Alligator mississippiensis: one gene and its partner. The main gene of each other region encodes a partner of the protein of the gene in region 2 in a complex. Links are inferred from orthologs where the notes say so. Each region holds a gene or a part of one and is shown on either strand. Other genes may lie near its edges.

Region 1 (8,176 bases), on a different chromosome or scaffold from region 2:
CAAGGCACAGAGAGGGATTTGTTGTGCTTCTATTTTAAGTCTGGGGACCACCTGTGGAAAGAGTATATGCTACAAATTGTACGGCACATTTTCTTGTCGAAGTATTAACGCAAGCATTTCACCATACAGACACATGCAAATTAGCATATGTTGTGCCTACTTTAATGCTCTTTACATTCAGTTTATGATTTCCCAATTGATATGCTTCTTTCTATTAAGGTATTGAGCCCTATTGGATATAAAGATAGTACAACTTCACAACTGAAAGGAGGGGCCAAGCCCCCAATTCATTTTTTTATAATGTATACAATAATACATCAACAGGAACTGCTCGCTTTAAAAGCGTTTTATTGAGTAGTAACAGCACTGGGCGCACTTTGAAGACACCACACTTCAGCAAAGCAATCTGTCTCTCCATCACGTGAGTCCTTCTGCTCTTCTTCCTCAAGCTGCTGATGCTACACTAAAAGAAAGAAAACAAAAAAAGTCATCTACAACGAAGGAGACCACTTCAAAAAGTGTAATTTTTCCTGACTGCTATCATTTTGGAGTGGAGGGGTGGGCTTAGCTAATGAAGCAGAGGAGGAAAGTTAAACAAAGACATGATGGGGGATGTGGGTGGGAACCTAAATTATGCGGTGTTTGTGTTTTAATATCTTTATGAATTTTGCAAAGTCGCCAGCCAAATCCTTTGCACGAGCACTGGGGACGCGTGTTAGAAGACCCCAAGGTGGAGAAGAGTTAGACAGTATGACAGCAATGACACAAAATTCAATACTTACAGGGACCAACCTCCATCTGTGGTCCTGGTTTGTCCTCCATCTCTGCTTTATATCGGAGGCTGCTCAGGACTTCTGTGACCACGAGACCCAACACCCATTAGGCAGAAGAGTCGCTACCGTCAGTGGAGAATCCATCGGGGGTTCACAACAAGCTCTAGTTCGGTGGTGGAAGATAATGACAAGCTCCTTGTAGTAAGAGCGGGCCGTGCAGCCACACAGCTCATTGCATGCCTACAGACCAGCCAGAGATCCTTCCTTACGGAGACACTGAAAACTCTGTTGTGCCCCTTGGCTCAGCATTTGCTCAACACATGAGCAAAATAAGGCTCTTCTCCCGAGAGATCAACAACAGGTCAGGATCTCAATACAAGGAATGAAGAGTACGTGAACTTCCCATGAACTGCAAGTGCTAAAAAACAGCACCTGGGTGCACAGAGCCATTTCAGCGGAGGGGAACAGCTGATCAAGATGAACCCAGAGGGCACGCAGACGTGTCCCAGGTAGCCAAAGCAGCATGGGATCCTCATAGATGCACAAAAATAGTGTTAAATGCAGATGCACCAAAAAGTACTTTGCAATAGGTTAAAAAAAACCCATCCTTCATCTGAATGGGCTGCTTCCAAAGTGGGTTTGATAATGTGCAGTGAGAGGCCAGATCAGCATTACTACATTTTGCTTGACGCAAGGCATTTGAATGCAAATCAACTCAACCCACAACTCTGAAGTGGAGGCCAGCCCTTTGACCGTAACCTTTTCAAGGCAGGGAGTTGTCTTAAGTCATCTTGGTTAATTCTCTGTTCTACGCAGTCCACCGAGTCATCCGCTTGTCCCACAAACCTTTAAATTGCTGTTTTCAATTGTCCGCACGCTAGCTGCAAGTAAGTGAACTGAATTACATATCTTGTAGCTGCGCGCATCTCTGCGCTGCAACTTATGTAGATATAGCACCCCCGCTCGCTTTGAACAACGGGTTCAGAAGAATGGAAACGTTTGGGATTTCCTTTGGAAAAGCCAGAACTGCACCAGCATGTAACAGCCCCTCGTCAAAGGGCTGATGAGACCGGCCAGAGGAAAAAGTTGGATTTGCATTTGCAAAAGGCAATTCTCTGATGACTGACGGAAACCCTAGGAAGTCTGATACCAGGGAGAAAGACACCTGCCCAGCCAGGGGCCATAAAACGATTAGCGGAAGTAATACGATTCATTTATTAGCATATCATTGGAAACACAAGAGAACGGGTCGTTGCATTATAGTGCCTTGAAAGCACGAGATGCAGCAAAACACGGAGACTGCCCGGGGGCTGATGGAAAGACAGCTCGGCCTCATCTCTTCACACGTCACGGCCACGAGCTGTTCATACGGGAGCACCACCACCAGCTTCACCTTGCCCACTCGCGTGCCAAACCCGCCCACGAGGCAACGCTGCCTCCGAAGGGCCCCGAGCCCCCGCTTTGGCCTTGCTAAGCGCCACGAGCTCGAGGTCACTTAAAGGCAGCTGCCAGGCCTTGTTTTTGGGATCTGACAAGAGCAAAGCAGGAGGGAGCGGGCAACAGGAGCTGCTAACGATGCTCTGGGGCTCTGCAGAGACAGCAGACGTGCCCGTAGGGACCGTATAGTATCACGTAATGCACCGTAAAGGAAGGAGTGCATCCATAGGGCTCTACCCCTTGCAACTTTACCCCTCTTCCGGTGTATTTAGCCACTCTTCTTAATAAACACCTAAATGCTGGAGAAAACACAGCCGCCCTCTCACACGGACAGCGCGGAGGTGTCCAAAGGCTCCCGATCTGCCCCGAGAGACGTGCAAGCGGGGAGAGATGCACCTGTTGCACAGAGCCAGTCTCCGGAGCTAAATCTTCCCCTTTGCAAACGTCCACGTCGGCGGGTCACGCCGCGCCGCGCCGCACCGCGCACAGAAAGCCACGCTGCCCTGCACGGCCAGGTGGAAGCGAGACTCCCTTTGAAACGCAGAATCGGCGCGCCCTAATAAATACGGATTAGGGGTCCCGGTGGTCTTCCCGAGACCCGTTCGGACACGCCGTCTTTCCACCCGAGCCCTCGTGCCGAGATCTCCTCGGCCGAGCTGATGTCACGTCCCGGGCGCGCTCCACCAGTGTGAGAGCTGCACTGGGGTATAGCTCCCCATGAGGACCCCTCGCCGTGACGTCACCCCCGCGGGGCCCCGCCCCCCCGTGACGTCACGCGGGATGCCCCGCCCCGTGCCCCCCTGGCCCGGGCCCGCGCGCTCACCAGTACTTGAGGATGGCGGTGACCTGCAGCGGGTTGGGCTGCTCGGGGTAGAGGCGGCGGCACTCTCCGTAGATGCCGTGCAGGCCCGGCGGGAAGAGCGCGGGGAAGGCGGCCGGCGGCCGCGCGCCCTCCATGGCCCGGCCCGGCCCGACCTGCGCCCGGTGGCGGCGGCGGCTCCGGCCGGGGTGGGGCGGGGCCTGCTGACGAGCGCGCGGCTCCACCAATCGCCTGGAGGGGATGGGGCGGGGCCTCCCCCCGCCGGCCCCGCCCCCGCCGCCTGCCGCCGCCCGAGGCTCGCGCGCCCCCTGGCGGCCGCCGCCGGCAGCTGCACCCGGCCCTATCCACCCATGAACCTGGAGCCTAGGGGGGGCTCAGCCTCGTGCACGTGCACATGCACACGCGCGAGGTTCATGCTGCGCGTGACAGCCTCGACCTCTTACAGCCGCCGGGATTTAGCCCCCTAAATGGCCCCTTTGACTCCGGCTCCTAGAACGAATCGCGCACGTGCGTTTTGTGTAGGATAAGGGTCCACGTAACCAGCCGTTGTCCATGGGCACTGCTACGCCTGTAAGACTTTGGCAGGCAGGACGGCAGAAATGCGACGTTTTCCAGTTTTGGGGAATTTCCTGTCGTTGCTCTGTACAGCGGGGTGTACGGCTCAATTGCGACAACAACCGCACTGCGTCTCTCCTTTCTTTCTGTCTTTCTTTCTTCCAGGGAAGGGCCAGACCGTGCTAGAAATTGTAGCCACGTCTCTAATCCTGCAAAGTCTCGTGCACCTGTAAAAGTTTGCACGCTGCGAATGCCTCCATAAATCTTGCCAAGATCAGGACGTGGGATTATAGCTAAAGCAGCAAATTGAGCTGCAAGGTGTTCCTGCTCCCTGGGTTTTCCATGTGCGCAGGTGAAGAATATTTGCCCAAACGTCAATGTACACAAAATAGGTTTCGGGGAGTTCACCTGCAGCCAGAGACTGAAAGGTGGGCAAACAAACGAATAAGAGTTGCTAAGAGGCGAGCAATTTATACTTGAATGAAGTACTGGCTCAAACAATACGCAATGTTTCACCTGTCCTAGTACGGTGATACCAATAACGGTTTCCCCACCTGAGAAAAGTCGACTGCGGTAACCGGAGAAGGTAAATATTAGAAACAGAATCCCTTAGCAAATACTTGGGTTGGTTTAAGGCACACATACGTCTCTCTGGTGATTTATCTGGGCTAACATGACACCTCCCGTGCTGTTCGGCCCGCTAACGATGGATCGTAACGAGTGAGAAGGATATAAAAATCAATAAAATTAGCTGAGGTCAATATTCAGAGTATCTGCCCAGGATTCAATTTAAAGGTGAGGCTCAATGTCTGAATGAACGGGTGCTAAAATACTCCGCGCACGTGTTGTTGGGTTGTAAAAAAGCCCAGGGTGCTTCGTTCAGCCTAAACGCTGCTGGGCAGCAGTCATCAAACAGCGTGTGGTTGGAGCAGGGAAGGAGACAGCGTATTTTATCATCTCTCCATTCCAGTGAGTCGCAATCGGGGTGAGCAGCGCCCCGGGGGGCTCGTGAGGTCCTTTCCAGGGTGCCAAGGCGCGCGCCACTTCGAGGCCCAACGACTCGATGTTGAGGCAGGACGACGGTGCGGCGGCGGCGGCGGCGGTGGAAGGAAGAGACCAACCCAAAGACCACGCGTGTCTGGAATCGGGCTCTTCAGTCACCTGAGGACCCATCAAGTTTAAAACCAAAGGCCTGGCCCCGGCAGCGGCGTTTCTAGTCAGGCAGCGCCGAGGGATGCCATTGGCCTCGGGGCTCCTTATAGTCCTTGCGGCTCCCTTGCTGACTCTTGGTTGCGCGGCTGTCAATGACCTGCTCTGCCTTTTAAGAGGCTCGACGTCGTGCCCATCGGGCTGGGCCACCTTTCTTCTGCCCCTCGCTGCTCCTGGGCACGAGGCGCCTAGTTCGCAGCCTGGCAGAGCATTGTCACCCACCCTCTTCTGAAGCCGCCCGAGGCCTGCTGTGGCCAAGAGCCTCCTTCAAGGGACTACCTGTCCCAAGATGCACCGCCCCCCGGACTACAACTCCCGGCATGCTCACAGCTCCACATGCACAGAGAACGACATTTCCCAGCATGCCCCGCGCACTCTGCCTATGAAGAGCTCCCAGCATGCCCCGCAATTCCCTCAAGAACTACATTACCCAGCACGCCCCGCCTCCCTACCCGAAGACAGCTCCCAGCATGACCCGCGCCCCGACTACATTTCCCAGCATGCTCCACGCCCTCCGCCTCATGAAGACGGCTCCCAGCATGCTCTGCGATCCCTAAGACTACATTTCCCAGCATAACCCGCGCCTACCTCAAGAAGACAGCTCCCAGGCTGCTTCGCGCGCTGCCGCGTCCCTCGCGCATGCGCCCCGCGGCCCGGGCTGTGGCTCCCCGGCTGGTGTGTGCGGCGGGTGCTGGCCATGGAGTCCTACGACGTGATCGCGAACCAGCCCGTCGTGATCGACAACGTGAGTGCGGGGCCCGCCGGCCCCTGCGGGGCGGGGCGGGGGGGGAGCGCGGGCATCGCCGCCCTTTGTCATCGCGGTCCCCGCCCCGCCCCCCCCCCGGCGCCGGCCACAGAGACGCGTCAACCGAGCTTGGCGCCCACGGGCCGCTCGTTCTGCTTCCTGATTGGCTCCCGCGCTTGCCAATCTCCGCCTGAGGGCGCAACTGAACATGCTGGCGAAACGGGTCCTCGGCTTCGGGGTGGGGTGTGTTTTGATGGCCTCCGATTGGCTGTCCCGTCTGTCAGTCGCCCTCAGCGCCCTTCTCCCCTGTTTGAGGCGGGGAGTCCCGCCCCCCCGGGGAGAGCCCCTGCGCTAATTGGTCGTGAGGGCTGTCAGTCATTGTCCAGGCTTCGGGGTGAGCTGCCCCGCCCGTTGGCTGCCTTGGGACAATGGGCGCTGGGCCGTGGGGCCCCTCCCAGCATGCACTGCTGCTTGAGCCCTCCCAGCATGCATTGCTCCGTGTTCTCTGGTGTGGCCCCTCATGCACTGCTCCTTGTGCTGTCCTTGAGGTGGCCCCTCCCAGCATGCACTGCTCTGTTGTCTGGTCTTGGGGGGGACACTCCCAGCATGCAGTGCTCTGTTGTGCTTTCACTGGGGTGGCCCCTCCCAGCATTCACTGCTCCTTGTGCCCTCCCAGCATGCACTGCTCTGTGTTGTGGGGTGGCAGCTCCCAGCATGCACTTCTCTGTTGTGCTGTCCTGGGGGGGGGGGAGACACTCCCAGCATGCACTGCTCTGTGTTGTGCTCCGGGGTGGCAGCTCCCAGCATGCATTTCTCTGTTGTGCTGTCCTGGGGGGGGGAGACACTCCCAGCATGCGCTGCTCTGTGTTTTGCTCTGGGGTGGCTGCTCCCAGCATGCACTGCTCTGTTGTGCTCTCACTGGGGTGGCTGCTCCCAGCATGCACCGCTCTGTGTTGTGCTCTGGGGTGGCTGCTCCCAGCATGCACTGCTCTGTTGTGCTGGCCTGGGGGCCCCTCCCAGCATGCACTGCTCTGTGCTCTCACTGGGGTGGCTGCTCCCAGCATGCACTGCTCTGTTGTGCTCTCACTGGGGTGGCTGCTCCCAGCATGCACTGCTCTGTTGTGCTCTCACTGGGGTGGCTGCTCCCAGCATGCACTGCTCTGTGTTGTGCTCTCACTGGGGTGGCTGCTCCCAGCATGCACTGCTCTGTGTTGTGCTCTGGGGTGGCTGCTCCCACGAGGAGCTCTATCTCCAAGTGAGTGGGAGGAGCAGCTGCTGGGATTGACTGCTCCCAGAATGCACTGCTCCATCCCCGCTGACAGGGCCTGGTCCCGGCACAGGAGGCTTCTCTTTGATCCCCTCCTTGGTGCCGTGTCAGCATCATGTGGGCAGGGCGGCGGTGGCCTCCGGGGGCCCGTCCCCCGGGGCCTGGGCGAGCCCTGATGCCGAGGCCTCCCAACAAACGGCGCTATTCAGGGACGGGCCAGAGCAGGAGGGGGTGGAAGGGCAGCAGGTTGAGCCCAGTGAGTCACGCTCTCCGTCTCCTCCCTTCGGCTCTCCCGTGCCAACGCCCCGAGCGCATCTTGCTGTCCCAGATTGGGCCGTGCCCGTGCTCTCATCTTTCTGCCTCGCCTTGGGCAAAGGGTTGCAGGAGTGGCAAGCAGCACGTGGGATGGCTCGCCCGGCCGTCCTCAAGGCAGACCGCGTTTCTCACATACCTCCCGGCCTCGCTCCTTGTTTTGCACGTCTCAGAAAACCTGCTGCGGGTCCTGCCGGAGATGCAGCGTTGGCGTTTGCTCCTCCGCTTGGTGTTTCTCTCGGAGATCAGGGCAGCGATGCCGTCCAGTAATCAGAGCAGGGTTCCCAGTGCTACACACCACAGTCTTTGAAAGCAAATCCAGATTTAACAGATTGGTTCCTTTTTTCCTCACTCTTTTATGCACTGTGATGAGTTTGAGCAAGTTGCTTGTCCTCTCTGTGCTTTGAACTGTCCTCAGTAAAAAGAGGATAGCGAAGCTTTTCCCCACCGGGGTAAAACCATTGCTAGTTCAAGGGTGAAAGGCCCCAGAGGACGTGTCGTCAGTCAGCGTGGTGCAGGCAGTGCGATGCCACGGTGAGGGGCAAAGGATGAAGGGACACATTAGCAGCTATCCAGGTCCGATTCTGCTCTATCCTGGGCACGTTACGTGGGGAATTTTTATCCCCTGCAAATGAAAGAAATCTTTGCTCCGGTTACGTTGTGGGACCAGCGTCCTTTCCTGGCATGGCTCCCAGCTCGGAGCCTGGCGTGACGTTGCAGTTTCAGCGCTGTCCATGAGCTAGGCGAGGGAGAACGTGGAAGCAGTGCAGAGGATGGACTGCTGCTCTGCACTCCTCCTCGGTGCCTTTTCTCCATTACAAAGCGCTTTACGACGGTGGGCGTTAACCCAGCTTTACAAAGGGAGGAAAATAAAGCAGGGGGTACAGAGCGGCTTTGCTTCCAGTCTGATTCTAGTATCCGAGCACTGCCAGGAAGTAGCGAGCAATGCTGCTAACATCTCTTGCTGATGCGTTCTCTGTTAGCAAGCTGTGCTGTCAGCCTCAGGTCTTCAGCAAGGAGCACCCAGTCTTTCCAAAATGAGTTTTACCTATTGGGTG
Region 2 (7,679 bases):
CTGCCAGGGCAGTCCATGGGAGTGGGTGCTGAACCCAGGAGTCTGGGCTTCCAGCCTCCCACTCCTCTGCGGGCCTTGAAATCACCCTCAAGCCCCCACAAAGAGTCCCCCCAGCCAGGACCACGAGCCCCCCAGATTCCCCCAAGCCGCCTCGGGACCCAAAGCAGCAAGAGCCACCTCCCTGGGGCAGCCCAATTAGCAGGGCTGAGTGGAGCCAATTAGCTAATTAATTAAAGCGGGCGGTGCCCGGTTCTGGGGCAGGGCCCCCCCCTGCCTGGCGCCAGGCAGCTCTGGGGCTCCCGAGCAGCTGGTTAGGATGACGAGGGGAACGATCCTCCGTGGTGCTGGACCCAGGGCTCCCAGCTCAGTTGTGGGAGGCAAGGGGAAGCCCCCCCAGCATTGGCAAGGCCTAGAGTCCAAGGCCAATGCCAGGGTGAGGGGCACCCAGCCGGGACCCAGGGGATTGGACTCAGCGCCACAGCCTTCCCGACAAGCCCCCAGCCTCCAGGCTGGGGTCCAGCATGGAGTGGGGGGGCAGGCCCCGATCCTGGGCGGGGTCTGGTGATGCCCGGGTGCGGCCGTGGCTCGTGGGGCCGGGCAGGGCGGGACGATCCCTGCCTGCGTCATGGGGCCTGGGAAGCGCCTGGGGCCTATGAGATCCCCAGCCTCACCCCAATGGGACGCAGTGCCAGGCGGGGGGCAGGGGGGCCAGAGAAGCCAGGCAGTGGGCACCACGGGGGGAGGGTTAGGGTTAGGGTTAGGTGTCCTGGCAGTGTCCTGGGCCAGGCGGAGGGATGGAGAGAGCAGGCCTGACCCCAGGCATCACTGAACCCGTCAGCTCCCAGGACAGATGCTCTGCTGGTCCCAGTTCCAGCAGCATCTCCGGGCGCGGGGCAGGGTCCCCTTGCAGCCCCCCCAGCACCGAACCCCCCGCCCAGGCCCGGTCCCCCAGTAACATCCCAGCAGCTCCCCCCCTCCCCAGGCAGCAGGGCGGGCACGGACCGGCAGACTCAGCTCCTGGCGGGGAAGTGCAGGGGTCTGTGCGCACATCTACATGTGTGTGTGCGTGTACATACAGATGTGTGTGTGTGTGTGTGTGTGTGTGTGTGTGTGTGTGTGTATGTGTAGGGATCTGTGTACACATCTACATGTGTGCGCACGCGCATGCAGTGTGTGCACATAGAGATGTGCATGCCTGACTGCAGGAATGTGTGCCCACACATGTGTGCGCTTGCAGGGGTCTGTATATACATACACATAGGTGTATCTGCACATACAGATGTGTGTGTGCAGGGGTCTGTGTACGTGTCTACATGCATGTGCATGCGTGCGTGCGTGCAGTGTGTACACAGAGCTGTGAGGGCCTGCATGCAGAGATGTGTGCCCACACACATGCACATGTGTGCAGGGGTCTGCACGCACATACATATGCATGTGCACACACATCCACATGCATGTGTCTGCAAGCAGGGCCGTGTGCACACAAATACCTGTGTGTGCATGTGCAGGGGTGGGCATGTAAGGATGTGTGCACACATACACATGCATGTGTGCGCGTGTGTGCAGGGGGTGCATGCCCATACACCCGTGCACATCTGCAGAGATGTGTGTACACACAGACACATGTGTGCCTGTGTGCAGGGGCCATGTGCCCACACACACAGGCATGTGAGCTTGTACATGAGCGTGTGTGCACATCGCATGTATGTGAGCAGTCCCGTGTGTGCGCACGTGTGTGTGCAGGGGTGTGGGGGGTCCTTCCAAGCCGCAGCAAACACACGGGGCCCTCCCAGGTGGCTGCACACAGGGTCAGTGCCCCCCCTGCCATGGGGCTCCCAGTGTCGTGGCTCCAGGGAGCTGATGACTTTTCCAGGCCGAGGGGGGAGGGTTCCTGGGCTCTTCCCAGAGAGGGGGGTCTCCCCTTTCGCCCCCCCTGGGGCAGGAGAGCCGGGCAGGGGGAGCCTCCAGCTCCCCAAGAGGGCTCGTGGCCCCCGCGAAGCAAGTGTCACTCTCCAAACCCTCGGCATCACCCCCCTCTTTCCCCCCTCGGCCCACCCAGGAGCCTGGAGCCGAGACGCGGCCTCCGGGCCAGCTCCGGCGAGGACTTTCCAAACTCTGGCCCCCCCTCGCCCCTGCACGCCTGTCACCACAGTGCCCACAGACCAGGCATCCCCCAGCCGCCGTCCCGCCAGGCACCCGGGCACAGCCATGGGGACCCTCGCTCCTCTCCTGCTTCCTGGGGACAGGGTCTTGCGGCCCCCACTGAAACAGAAGACCCGGGGGGAGGGACAGGACCCCTATGCACCCCCTGAAACTTTCCCCTGCAAAGACGCAGCAGCCAAGCCAAGCTCGTACCTCCAAGCGCCGGGGCCGGTCTGAGCCCTTCCTCGACCCTGGGGGTAACTCCACTCTTCGGGGGCCACGAGGGTCTCCCCCAGCGCTGAACATCCAGGGAAAAGCCTTGCAAAGAGACGGGGGGCAGGGGGGGAGCACCCCCCCCGAGAGCCACCGGTCGCTGTGGCCTCCCGGCTCCCAAACCCAAATCTCCTCCAAACCCAAATCTTCGGACGAAGATGATGAATCAGATGAAGATTTTTTTTTTTCCTCTCCCCCCCCTGGAAATCCAGCAGGAGAAAGTCCTGGGGGGGGGACGAAGAGGGAGCCGGGAACTCCGGGCGCCTCGTCGCCACGCCGCGGCCCCGGTTATAAATATTCCTTCCCCGCGGCCGCCCCGGACCACCTCGGAGAAGGAAGTTTTGTTTTTCTTTCAAGAGAGAGAGAGAGAAAAAAAAACCCTTTCCCGATGCTTTTCCACCCGGGAGAGCGGCTCCGGGCCCTGCTCTGGCGCTTTGAAGCCGGGGCTGGGGCAGGAGGGGGGACAAAACTTCGCCCGCTCTTTCTGGGCTCTGCTCAAGCCGGTATGGGGGTGGGTTGGGGGGGGGGGGGCTTCGTCGTCCACCACCCCCCCTCCGCCCCTCTCTTTTTCCCCTTGCCCCCCTTGCCGCTTGCTCAGCTGCGAGGTCTCTGGGGGCCGGGGGGAAGCGGGCGAAGGGAGCCCCTGAAATTGGAGGCACGCACCATGCCGGCCGCAGTGCTGGGAAAACCTGGGCTGGATCTCCACGCCCACGCCCACGCCTGTGGGGCACACGCGTGTGCATGCCCGCCCAGCCCCGGGAAGCAACGCCTGGCCTGGATGGACCGGCTGCAGGGTGCTTTGGGCTGGGGCTGGGGCTGGGCAGGGAATGAACCCCTGCCCCACTCTGGAGGTGCCAGGATCGGGGCCTCCCAATGCAGGAGGGGTTTGGGGGATAGGGAGCGAGGGACACAGGTGCCCCCCCGCCATGTCCTAGGCTTGGGGGCCGCACATGCATGCAACATGCCCGCACACGCGGAGCACGGGCCATCCTGCGGGCCATGGCCCCGTGCCAGGCTGGGACCCGGCAGCTTGGGGCTTACCTGGCCAGGAGGCAACTTCACCGGCTGCCGTGACCTCACGGGGCACGGCAGTGATGTCAGGCCTTGCTGCAATGAGGTCATACGGCCATCAATACCCTCCCGACCCCCGTAACACTGAGGGTCCTGCAGCCGCCCCGCCCCGGGGGCTCACCCTCTGCACGTCTGCCCCCCAACAGTGAGAGCTGAGATACCCCTGTTGTCATGGAGACAGGTTTCGGATGGGGGGGGTGGCATTTGTGGCGTGGGGACATGGGTAGGACAGCCAGGAGGGGGGACCCAGCATCCAGGCTCCCAGCACCCCGCCCCCGGCTCTAACCACTTAACTCCACTGCAGACCCCCAAACCCGCGCTCCCAAGGGCAGGGACTGAACCCAGGTGTCCCGTCTTAGCCCCGCCCCTTCGCTAACCACTCAACCCCCCTCCCCCGCTGAGCACTGAACCCAGGTGTCCCGGCTCCCAGCCCCTCTCTCCAGTCTGACCAGTAGCCCCACCTCTGCTCTCCCCAGTCCCCCTGCCCCTGCCCCCACTCTCAACCCCTGGCTCATGACATCACAACACAGGCTGTGACATGACAGAGGGGCCAGCAGCCAATGAGGGGATTCCTCAAAGTTCTGCCCCCCCATGACGCAGTCGCAGGGGGCAAGGCGGGCACTGAGTGCGGAGACTGCGCTCCTGGGTGCCCCCCACCCCTGGGCCCTGCAAGGAGAGGGGGCAGGGCCGGGATTCCCGGGGTCTCTCCCCAGCTCCAGGTGCGCAGGGCACCCCCAGGGCATCCCCTGAGGGCTCCCACTTGCCCCCTTGGTACCCAGCTGCCCCGGTGGGGGATGCCCCAGGCCTGTGGCTGGCTCTGCCCAGGCCAACCTGTCAGCTTCTGGCATGACATCACTGCCCTGCATGACATCACAGCATGACATCACCCAGGGGGCGGTCCAGACGCAATGCCTGCTGCCCTCTGCTGGACTCAGCGGGCACCACAGCTGCCTGCCCAGTCCCTCCCCCCCTTGTCTGTCCACCCAGGATGACTGGGTTCGATCCCCGAGCCCAGAGCTTCTGGGCTTAGTCCCTGCTCCGTGCCTCAGTTTCCTCCTCTGGGCCCCCACAGCCTGGGCATCATGGGGGGGGCACCCTGGGCTGGCCATGCTAGGCCCCTGACCCCTGACCCTGCTGGTCCCCAGGCCTGAGGAGGGGGCTTCACACAGGGGATCCCCCTCGCCCCGGGAAGCTTCTTTAAGCATCATTAATTGCAGCTGCCCCAATTAATGGGGGTCACCTCTGCCTTCCCAGGACTCGTCTCGCACAGGCGCCCGGATGTGTAGGTCCCGTCGGGGCTGGGGCAATGCCAGGGCTGTGCAGACCCCCACTTCAGCTGGCACCGAGAGGCTGTAATGGGGGGACCTGGGCTGCCCTCGACCCCCCTGGCAGTGCCCTGATGATCACCCCCCCAGCTGTTCTGTCCAGCTCCCCCCACGTCCTTCAGCCGTGGCATAGCATTCACGTGGCTCCCCCCACCCCCGGGGAGTTTTCCAGTGAGCCGGCAGCCCCAGGATGGGGGGGGAGAGGGGGCTGGGCAGGGATGCCCATGGCCCCCCTGGGCGCCAGCCTGGGGGGCTGTGGAGCGTGGCAGGAGCCCAAGTCCAGCGCCACGTCGCGGGCACGGGGGGTAAAGGGTAAGCAAACAGCGGGGCTGTGGCAACATGGGCTGGGAATTGCGACTCCGGGCCCCCCCCATGCGGGACGGTTCGTTCCCACCCCCCAAACAGGCCCTTTGCCCCCCTGCCCCCAGGCCGTTTCTCCTCAGCCCTGGGGGACCTGACACTGCCACAAGAGGCCAAGGGGAAACTGAGGCAGGGAGCAGTCACCCACCTGGGGTGGCCTCCGGGGAGCCTGGGCTGACCTGGGACCACCCCCAAAAGGGGAACCACATGTCCCAGCCCCTGCCATGCACACCCCCACTCCATGCCTGGGCGGGGGACCCAGGCATCCAGGCCAGTCCTGCAACCCCCCCCTATCCCCTTCCAGTACAGAGGTGGCCACGGGACCCAGGTGTCCTGGGAACTTTGCAATGGGGTAAAGCTCAGCTGGGCGCTGCCCGGTTACTCTGTGTTTATTTTCACCCTCAAGGCTGCCCCCCCCGTGCCCCCCCATGCCCCGCTGGACAGTTGCCATGGTGACTGAATGCAGGGGAAAGGGCCCCCGGGGCCGTGCTGCTATTTCGGGGCCTGTGGCCTTTGCTTGCCGCGGCCACAGATGACATCACGCCCTGCTGGCACGAGGCGCCAGGGCGAAGGGCACGTGCTGGGGGGGCACGGGCTGGGCAGCAGCTGCACACCAGGGACCCAGTGCCCCCAGCCATGCTGGTGCCCCTCACTCCCGACCTGCAGCCCCCTGCCCCTGCAATCCAGGGCTCCCTTTGGCAACCTAGTTTTGGGGGTGGCATTAGGGGACATCTCCAGAAAAACCCTGGTCTGGGGGAGAGCAGGGAAGGTTTGGGGGGGGCACATGGACCTGGCCTGGCCTGATCTCCAAACTTCTTAACTGGATCACGCTGGGCTGGGGCTTTCGCCTGCAGCCTCATCACCTCCTGACACCCTCCTGGATGTCTTGGTTCTGCAGCCAGCCCTGCTCAGTGCCTCAGTTTCCCCTCCTGGCATGCACCTGTCCAGCCAGGGGGGGCTCCACAGGGCAGGGATCCCCATGCCCAGCCCTGCAGTGTCCCTTGGGGCTGCTGGAGCCCCCCACATAGGTGGGGCTGGGGAGGGCTGGGTCTGTGCCCCCCGCAGCCCCTGCCTCACAGGATCGGGCCCAGGCAGCAACTGCGGGCATGTGTTGTAACTGTCCTAAGCAGCTTAGCCCGGTTTTGGCCTGAGCTGGGGCCGGGTGGCCAGGACCCCCACCCTGGGGACCAAGACCCTCAACCCCCCACTCCCCTGGTCAAACTCTGCACCCAAGTGGGCTGGGGCAGGACACCGTGAGTGGGGGGGACTGGACAGACTGGATAAGGGAGGGATGAACGGATGGACGGATACTGCCCCCCCCGCCCCCCTCCTACCCCTAATCCTGAGCTCCTGCACTAAGAAAGCCCAAGCAGCTCAGGGGGAGATTAATGTCTTAGTGCCCCCCCACCCCCAGGGTTTGGGGTTAGTGTGTCATCATGTCACTGAGTCACTGTGCCACACACTGCCACCCAGCCCCCTGCCTGGCATCGCTAGGGGGCAGCAGGACAGGGGGCTTTGGGTCCGGAGCGAGGGGCACTGGTGGGGCTGGGGGCTGCAGGTCAGGAGTGAGGGGGACCAGCAGGGCTGGGGGATAGGGGCTGCGGGCCGGGTGTGAAGGGAATTTTCACTCTGCCCGAGCAGGTGCATGGTGCGGGTCCCGCTGGGCTGTTCCCAGAAGGGGTGGGAGGGGTAGGAGCGGGCAGGAGCTGCAGTGTGGTCCCTGCATGCCGGCAGGGGCTGATGAAAGCCGCCCTTTGCCCCCCACGACCGGGCTGGGGCCGTGAGAGTGGCCAGGCCTCGGCCCCAGATAACGCTTTGAGTTGGTGCTTGCACAACAGACCCCCAACGGCGCCAGGGCAGAGCAGGAGGGACCAGAGCCCCACACCAGGCACCCCAGGGACCCTGAGCAGAGGGCTAGAGGCCTTGGGCCAGGCTGGCAGGGGGCTGCAGGTTGGGAGTGAGGGGTACCAGCAGGGCTGGGGGCTGCAGGTCGAGAGTAGGGTGCACCAGGGGGACTGGGGGCTGCAGGTCAGGAATGAGGGGCACCGGTGCAGGGCATCAGCCCATCTCACTGCAGCGGACCCGATCCTGTTTACGTAAACATATGCACGCACAGACCCGAGGCCTCGTTAGACGCTTCCACATCTTTATTAGCTCCATGTAATAAAATAAATTAACCCTGCCCTGTCCCCCCCACCCCCAACACCAGGAGACCAAATGAAAGGTTGGGCCAGGCCTGTGCCCAGTGCTGCCCTGGCCCCTGTGGCACAGTAAAGCCCCCTTTTGACCAGCGATGCCACAGCAGTAACGTTCCTGGGCTGCAGGGACAGCACCAGCCAGGCCACAGCTGGGTTTCCGCAACCCCTGCCCACTCCCCTGCTGGCCCCCAACCCAGCTCTGGCCCCACTAGTCCCGGAAACTGATGCCCTCTAGTCCCGCCAATGCTGGGCCCACATACCATGACCTCTGCCCCACTTGGCAGCCAGCCCCGGCCTCCGGGGGGGGGGG

The links.
Region 1: the proteins of GLI1 (region 2) and SUFU are in contact, whole or in part, in a crystal structure (PDB 4KMD), measured with the Homo sapiens proteins. The link is inferred for Alligator mississippiensis from reciprocal best matches to the Homo sapiens genes GLI1 and SUFU. Residues at the interface, in NP_005260.1 of Homo sapiens: Gly119, Ser120, Tyr121, Gly122, His123, Leu124, Ser125, Ile126, Gly127; in NP_057253.2 of Homo sapiens: Leu144, Tyr147, Asn153, Thr154, Phe155, Gly158, Asp159, His160, Val161, Ser162, Trp163, His164, Gln212, Asn265, Leu266, Ser267, Gly268, Val269, Ser270, Ala271, Glu376, Leu380, Lys398.

What each region holds. Positions count from the first base shown.
Region 1 is NC_081829.1:99,404,267-99,412,442, forward strand, and holds the start of SUFU (suppressor of fused homolog), read right to left. Parts: upstream 3,220-8,176; 5' UTR 3,168-3,219; coding exon 3,034-3,167; intron 1-3,033. Other genes in the region: ACTR1A (alpha-centractin), read left to right, coding at 5,492-5,539. UniProt on the Homo sapiens protein: Negative regulator in the hedgehog/smoothened signaling pathway. Down-regulates GLI1-mediated transactivation of target genes. Down-regulates GLI2-mediated transactivation of target genes. Part of a corepressor complex that acts on DNA-bound GLI1.
Region 2 is NC_081838.1:7,325,303-7,332,981, reverse strand, and holds the start of GLI1 (zinc finger protein GLI1), read right to left. Parts: upstream 3,073-7,679; 5' UTR 2,356-3,072; intron 1-2,355. UniProt on the Homo sapiens protein: Acts as a transcriptional activator. Binds to the DNA consensus sequence 5'-GACCACCCA-3'. Regulates the transcription of specific genes during normal development.